Linked DNA regions of Nothobranchius furzeri. The protein of the gene in region 2 purifies or fractionates together with the protein of the main gene of each other region. This does not show direct contact. Links are inferred from orthologs where the notes say so. Each region holds a gene or a part of one and is shown on either strand. Other genes may lie near its edges. The genes, in order: trub2 and rcc1l.

What was found.
Region 1: the proteins of rcc1l (region 2) and trub2 purify together in Homo sapiens (affinity purification with mass spectrometry; 3 studies listed by BioGRID and IntAct, with this or other methods). This does not show direct contact. The link is inferred for Nothobranchius furzeri from reciprocal best matches to the Homo sapiens genes RCC1L and TRUB2.

Annotation. Positions count from the first base shown.
Region 1 is NC_091743.1:66,845,928-66,849,849, forward strand, and holds trub2 (pseudouridylate synthase TRUB2, mitochondrial), read right to left. Parts: upstream 2,837-3,922; 5' UTR 2,753-2,836; coding exon 2,605-2,752; intron 2,528-2,604; coding exon 2,393-2,527; intron 1,690-2,392; coding exon 1,615-1,689; intron 1,529-1,614; coding exon 1,467-1,528; intron 1,376-1,466; coding exon 1,294-1,375; intron 1,171-1,293; coding exon 1,098-1,170; intron 1,019-1,097; coding exon 882-1,018; intron 810-881; coding exon 505-809; 3' UTR 28-504; downstream 1-27. UniProt on the Homo sapiens protein: Minor enzyme contributing to the isomerization of uridine to pseudouridine (pseudouridylation) of specific mitochondrial mRNAs (mt-mRNAs) such as COXI and COXIII mt-mRNAs.
Region 2 is NC_091750.1:67,887,933-67,891,854, reverse strand, and holds the start of rcc1l (RCC1-like G exchanging factor-like protein), read right to left. Parts: upstream 2,448-3,922; 5' UTR 2,250-2,447; intron 1-2,249. UniProt on the Homo sapiens protein: Guanine nucleotide exchange factor (GEF) for mitochondrial dynamin-related GTPase OPA1. Activates OPA1, by exchanging bound GDP for free GTP, and drives OPA1 and MFN1-dependent mitochondrial fusion. Plays an essential role in mitochondrial ribosome biogenesis.

The DNA.
Region 1 (3,922 bases), on a different chromosome or scaffold from region 2:
AAATTACTTTGTTCTTTTCATGGAGTCCTTTAGGAGCACAAAGAAAAATCTTTTTACTAAATAAATTGTTACAAGATTTACTAGGTAAAACGGATTTTTCTGAGAAGGAAAACTTTATCACAGACAGCATGAGACCAGTTTCAAAACAGATTTCAGTGAAACACACACAAGTGTAAACAAAATTATCTCAACCTTATTTCTACCAAATCAAGCCCAAGGACACACATTTAGATAAATGGAGCACACCCTGGTGTACGCATGACAGGTGGGAGGAGTCTGATGAGGAAGCACATCTTGACACCTTCCACCTGGTGGATGCTGGGAATGATACCAGCCCCCGTGGCTCTGAAACAGCAAAAAGAAGAAACCACCCTTATTTTGGGTTCTTCATAATCCAACGTCTCTGATCAGAAAATGTCTTTTCCTGCTGAGCTGAACTGTGTTTAAGTAGAGTGGGATTCAGGCTCAGACACAGCTCTTAGAGCTGATTCGTTCGATAACAGATCATCCAGCTGCTGCATCTTTGTTTTGATGAGTGCCTGTCAGTCTGCTTCCAGATGTTTCTAACGTGGATTCCCTGATGGGAAACAGGATTTTCTTTTGGTTTCTCTTTGACGAGTGGTATTTATAAATGGCCTCCATTACATCCGCAGCAGACCAGTGGTGACGTGTGAGTGCGTCCTGCAGGGTGAAGAGCCCGTCTCTGGTCCGCCTCACTCCTTTACACACCGCCGTGCTGCGCAGCTCAAGTCCGATCTCATGAACAACTTTACGCAAATATTTCTGGGTCTCGTTGAGGCATTGCACCTCTGTAAACACAGAATAAACACGTTTCTAACTAGATTTATGGGAATTTTTAAATATTTGACTGTCCTTATTACCTAAAGTGAATTTGGGAGGCTGGAAGTGAATGCAGCGTAACCCCGTTAAAATAGGAGCCGATTTTCCGTCTGGACCCAGTAAACCTTTGGCCGCCATCTCGTATGCTTCCTGTGAGCCCATGTCTACCGTAGAATACCTGTTAGGATAAAAACAAGTCAGGTTGACTCACAAACATCTGATTTCAAAGTAACGTCCAGCAAAACACATTATCTTACATTCTCAAAGCCTTCTGATTGGCTCCTTCCAGCATTGCAGTGACTCTCTCCAGCTTATCCTCTGAGATGTGATCTGTTCAGATCACGTTTAAAGGACAAAAACAAATCAGGTACATTTGCATTTTTATAGCCTCGGATATCTGTAAGTACAAAATGAAGCTAATTTATCTAACTGCTAAAAACGATAGTTAAATACCATAAGTGGACCTTTCCAAAACCCGACCAGTGTGAGAGAAATCATGCGTTGCCATCCCAAATTCACACTCTAATGTATAGTCCTTAATAGAAAAGCAAAACAGAAATAACTTAATAAAACATCTTAAGGAAACAAATCCATGCCGTGTCAAACCAGCAGGAATGAGAATTTACCCGAGTGATTCGTGTATTGTACAGATCATTCAGAGTCTTGTTTCCATTCCCGACAGCAAGAACTTAAACACAGAAATGATAGAAAGTTTTATGAATTTTCTTGATAAAATTCAGACATTTTATCCGATGATCAAGTGGAAGTTTGTACCGAGGACGCCGGAGGACGAAGTATCCAGGCGGTGGCCCACTCCAACTTTGATTTGCTGGAATTCAGGTCCAGTCACTAAGACATGAAAAATATGCATCATTCTACCCACTCATGTACACTACTTACTGAATGCTGAATTACACCGGGCCGATATTTGTCCTTAATAAAGCTGATTTAAAGTCAGGCACATCCTTGGGCAGCACGGTGCTATTGCAAATTAAATTAAATGTATTTTTACATTCACAAATAACATCCGCATAATACATTCTCTAAATTAACTTTATTTAGGTATCTGACTAACGCGGAGCAGCGCACCAAGTTAAGATTTAACAATTAGTTGAATTCAGAGTTCAGAAATGTTGTGCATCCACTGATGTGATTAGTGACATTTTAGCATGAAAATAAGGTGGGAAACGTCTAAATATCAGCATCAGCTGACCGTGTCTCCTATTGATGCATCGGTATCGGCAATAGAAAAAAACAATATCGGTCGACCTCTATGCTGAATCATGGAGACGCAAGCTAAGGCTCAGTCCAAAAGGTGCGATGGATCAACAATGCATTTGTAGGAGGATGAATTGTGTCCCCCCAGCAGGCTGCTGGTGTAGATCGACACTTTCGAACATTTCTATCTTAAAATGTTTAACTAAAATTTTGAACCTGTTTTGGTCCTTTTTTCATTTGTGAACGTAAACCCCACAAAGCTTTTAGACATTTAGACATAGTGCATGATGCATCCGAAACCAATTATAAAACAATATGCAGGTGATCTACATACCTAGTGGGTGCTTCGACAGGACAGGGACCGCGGCTGGAGACACTCTGAGTCCTTTGGCTGCTCCAGGTTCATCGCTTGAGCTCACCAAGAACCGAACCTCACGAGGAACTGGCTGAGGATGTGTAGCGTTTACACCTGGAGACACACAACCAGGCATTCCAGGTCTATTTTATAAGAAACTGATAGCATTTCACACTAAAGTCGTGTCTCACCTTTAAGAAGATTAGTCTCTATCGTGTCCCGCACAAGTTTCCAGTGAACATCGGCAGGTTTGTAAACACAAAAAACTCCTTCTAGTCTCCGGAACATCCGAATAGCTGGAGTTGCCATTGTGTTGGGGAAAAAGCAACCTATTTTCATCTAGCATAAATTACATGTTTACCTACTGATGCTAACGCTTGCTAAAGCCGTCCTGCACGTGTATTTGCGCATGCGCGCATGATGTGTGTAATGGCTTTATGCTGATTGTATGCTGCCCCCTGCTGGAGTGGATGTGTTGGAAAGCAGCAGTAGTTTTAGAAGAAAATACAGGAATTGAGAAAATGTGGCATATGTATTTGTTTAATTTACGAGATTGGTCTCTTTTTTTAATTAGTGAATGGTTTCTATTTGAAATAAGTAGTAATTTTTTTTGTTACTTTTTTTTCAGAAAAGTCGGCGACATTTGCTTCTTTTGCCCACAGATGGCAGCAAAGTCGGACCTTCCTTCGGAAAGGAAGAAGAAGTAGAAAAGGAAACACATTGGATAACCTTGTTTAGAACTACAAGAGGACTTGAAGTGGTAACGTCGTCGACTTTGAGATATGTTGGTGTTGTACATTTGTTGCATTTTGACGTATATATTTAGGCCAACTGCAGCAAAAGAAGTAAGACTGGAAGTGTCGGTGTTGTGTAGAGATCTGTTTTCCCTGATATGTCGTCGTGCCCACCCAACCCCACATAGAAGAAGAAGAAAATATCATTTCTATAACGCCTCTCAAGATAAAAATCACGAGGCGCTTAAAGCAAATTAAACGCATCCGAACGGCTGACTGTCACATTAAAAGTAATTTCCCCAGGGTTGAATAGGGAAATAGTACTATACACCTGACAGAAACATCAGGCTTGTTTCCTCAGGGCTCGGGATCACACGTGACCACGCGTGTCATTCTGGGATGTCTACAGACATGTTGATGGCGTTAAGTGTGTAAAGGTGTAAACAAACCATGAAAACAAACACTATGTCGCAGAGAAGACGCAGATTTGGGACAAAGGAAGTGTTAAACAACAGGGATACACAGTTGTGTGTACACTCACAGGGAAACTGTAAATCACTGCCTTCAATAATTCATTGCAATCAGTTTCTGATCAACGTGCCTGCTTCTGAGTACTTAGATTGCTTTAAGTCTGCTTTAATTGCTCATACATAATGTATATGAGAACAGTCCTTTCTCTTTATGTCTGACTTATGTTTTTATATTTTTATCTTGTTTGTTTTTATCTTTTCTGTTGTTCTTTGGTTGAAAGCAAATTATGTCTGTTGCTGCTGCC
Region 2 (3,922 bases):
GCCAGTCCATCGCAGGGCAACACAGAGACACACAGGACAAACAACCATGCGCGCACACACACACATACACACACACACACTCACTCACTCACTCACTCACTCACACCTAAGGACAATTTGGACAGACCAACTAACCTAACAGTCATGTTTTTGGACTGTGGGAGGAAGTCGGAGTACCGGAGAGAACCCACGCATGCACAGGGAGAACATGCAAACTCCATGCAGAAAGATCCCAGGCCGGGAAGCGAACCCAGGACCTTCTTGCTGCAAGGCAACAGCTCTAACCACTGCACCACTGCGCAGCCCCAAATTGTAGAAACATATCTTTGAAAATATTGAAATGTGAAAATAGTTTTAAAAAAATTTAAAGGTGCATTATGTAGAAATGAAGTAAAAATGTCTGTGGTAAAATTTGGTTACTGAAACCACTTTAAACAACTTAGGAGCTTTTTACCGTTAGTCGTCAAATTACAATTGTCGGCGCTGCAGTATTGGCTCGCAGGAGACATGACTACCCCACACTCACTCAGGGTTTTTCCTGCATTAAAATTTGTGTGGCAGCCACCTCCAGCTAATTTTGTGCCGCCCCAGCCTGATTTCACTCTGTCCACAGCTATATGGATGTTATTTTAACTGCAGTTGCAGAGTTGCGCCACAAGAGGGACGCTGTATCAGCAGCGGTGCACCGAAAAGCACTAAAACTGCTGCAGAAATAAATCAAAAATAGCTTTTCTCGCTAGTTGGTACATATCTATGGTTGGTGCTAGTGACGTCCTGATTTTCCCCCAGGCTCTTCCATATCAGAGCAGGGCTGTACAGTGCGACGAAAACAACTGTCTGTGCGTGTCTGTCTATTTTTAAACGTAGCACTGGTGCAACATCTTTGAATTTCTGTTTTCCCCAGAACTTTATTGAACAAAAGTAAGTTACGTGTAAGAAAAATGCTTTTTTACTGGCGCACAGTGTGGTCATCTGGATGCAGTGGAGGACAATAAAGGAACCAGCAAAGGCAGAACCGGTACAAAGTCTGGGATCAAAAGTGCAGCTACACTCAGATTGGCTAATGCTAAAGTTAACGGATAGCAGTCTCACGATCAAGTGGCGCACAGAAAAATATATGATGATGATGGTAAAACTAAGAAAGACTAAACTCTACAAGCGGATGAAAATTCCCCACCATCCTGTTTATTCTGCATCCTGCAGCGCTACGGATCAGAACCGCTGCAGATGTGAGTCATATTACTGCTGGCGCAGAAAGTAAGGCAAGCCGTTGTGGTATATTATTGAGTCTTTTATAATAATTTGCCTTTTAAAAAGTGAGTCAGTTGAATACACAGAGTATGCATGTGCTGGCGCATGGTCAGGATGGTACCACCTCTGCCTCAGTTTGAGCCAGGAAAAACCCTGTCACTGATGGTAAATAGTAGCTATGTCCCTCCTCCCTTTGTTTTGAAAGGAGAAAAACTGTCAATCCCCACAGCCAGCTGGGCATGGTGGCGCAGTGGTTAGCACTGTTGCCTCGCAGCACGAAAGTCGTAGGTTCAAACCTCGGCTGCGGCCTTTCTGCGTGGAGTTGCGTGTTCTCCCCATGCATGAATGGGTTTCCTCCGGTTTCCCCCACAGATCACAACATGCCCTATAGGTTATAAATTGTAAGTCGCTTTGGATAAAAGCATCTGCGAAATGAATAAACACAAACATTCAAAGTGTTTCAGTATAACCTTACTTCCAAAATGACTGAAGCAGACGCTTCTGGGATTTTCTAACTGTAAAATCCTCACTACATTCTTACATACTGCACCTTTAATGAGGTATTTATAATGTTCATGTTTGATATTTTATTTATGCATCCTTATATTTTTAGAATTAAAAGTAATGTATCATTCAGTCAAGTTTAGTTTTATAATTTAAGTACAATTATGCCAAGACAGGAAATTCAGCTGGAAGTACTACGTACCTGTTCGAGGTTTCTCAAAATTGTATTTTGATATTACACCAAGTTTGGTGCTTTCACGTATGCTATCTTTGCTCACATTTTGTCGAAAACCTTTAAATTGCAAATGTTTTTCAAACTGCAATATGGCCGAGTCTTAGAAAGGCTTTTATAAATGCGGATAATTTAATAAAATGTTTCCTAACTCCTCCGTGCTCAGGAAAACATGCAGATTTGAGTTAAATTTAAGGCTTAATGAACTGAGTTCCACCTCCGCTTCGTGTCCACGCAGCCCTGAAACTAGGGGTAAACTTACCTTTTATCGCCTTTTAACGAGTGTTTTACAACGTCCGAACGACTGGTTATGAGCTCTGAATAAATTACTAAAGCATAAATGAAAGTCGACTAATATATTTCAGGGTAGTTTAAATAAGAGCTAACAAACATTTTCCCAGTACAGTTGTGATCACAGCTAACGCTAAGCCCTTAGGACAGAGCGCCACCTGCTGGACTGGAGGGTACAACACCACGACTCAACATAATTGACCTAAAGGGAATTTGAAACCAGAATCAGAATCAGAATAGGTTTATTGCCATTGTCCGTGAACAAACAATTCACAAACTAGGAACTTGCTTTGGTACTAATGTGCTACATATAACATGAACAATAAGATTAAAAATAGAATAAAATAGAATAAAACTTTCAGCTATAAAAAATGGCTGGTAATGGTAACATGGCTGATAACGTGATGTTGTGTCAAGTACAGAAAACCAGCATGGTTTTGTGTTTATAAGCAGTTCACAAGTCTAACTGCAGATGGAAAGAAGCTGTTCTTATGGCGGGAGGTTCTGGTCCTGATGGACCGTAACCTCCTGCCTGAGGGAAGCGGCTCAAAAGGTCTGTGACCCGGGTGAGAAGGGTCAGCTGCTATCCGACCTGCACGCCCCTGAGTCCTGGAGACGTACAGGTCCTGGAGAGATGGAAGGCTGCAGCCAATCACCTTCTCAGCAGAGCGCACAATGCGCTGCAGTCTGTGTTTGTCCCTAACTGTGGCTCCAGCGTACCACACAGCGATGGAGGAGGTGAGGATGGACTCAATGATGGCCGTGTAAAACTGCACCATCATCTGGGCCGGCAGCTTGACCTTTTTCAACTGCCGCAGAAAGTACATCCTCTGCTGGGCCTTTTTGATCAGGGAGCTGATGGATGGCTCCCACCTAAGGTCATGTGTGATGGTGGTTCCGAGGAAGCGGAAGGAGTCCACAGTGGTGACGGGGAGGTCAGTCAGGACGACGGGGAGAGATGGGGCTGTGACTTTCCTGAAGTCCACAATCATCTCCACTGTCTTCTGAGCATTAAGCTCCAGGTTGTTGCTGCTGCACCAGTACACCAGCCGATCCACCTCCCTCCTGTAGGCGGACTCATCACCGTCAGAGATGAGCCCGATGAGGATGGTGTCGTCCGCAAACTTGATCAGTTTAACAGAGTCATGGCTCGAGGTGCAGCAGTTTGTGTACAGGGAGAAGAGCAGAGGAGAAAGTACACAGCCCTGTGGAGATCCTGTGCCAATAAAAATATAAACATCACACGAATCAAAAATAAATCAAAATGTTTAAAAACAAGAAGCAGAAATAAGTTTAAAATGCTTAAAAAAGGATGAAAACATTGTCCACGTTGACTCAAAAGTTTGTTAAATAAAAAACTATTCCCAGAAAGAACATTAAGAGCTGCAGATGCTAGATTACTTTATTTTTTATTTGCTAAATTACTCAAAGAAAAAAACAACCCCAGCATGCAAAACCATTTTGTGTAATAACAAAACAATGGTAGGAATTTCCTTTCAAATTAAAGATGACACAGCTGAGAGTAAATTTAAAAAAAAAAAAAGAAGTAATTTGTATTAATGCGTTCTGTTTAGATTTTCTTTAATATTTTTAGAAATAATTCACACTTTTTCTTTTTACACAGATCTCTGTTAAAAAAAACAA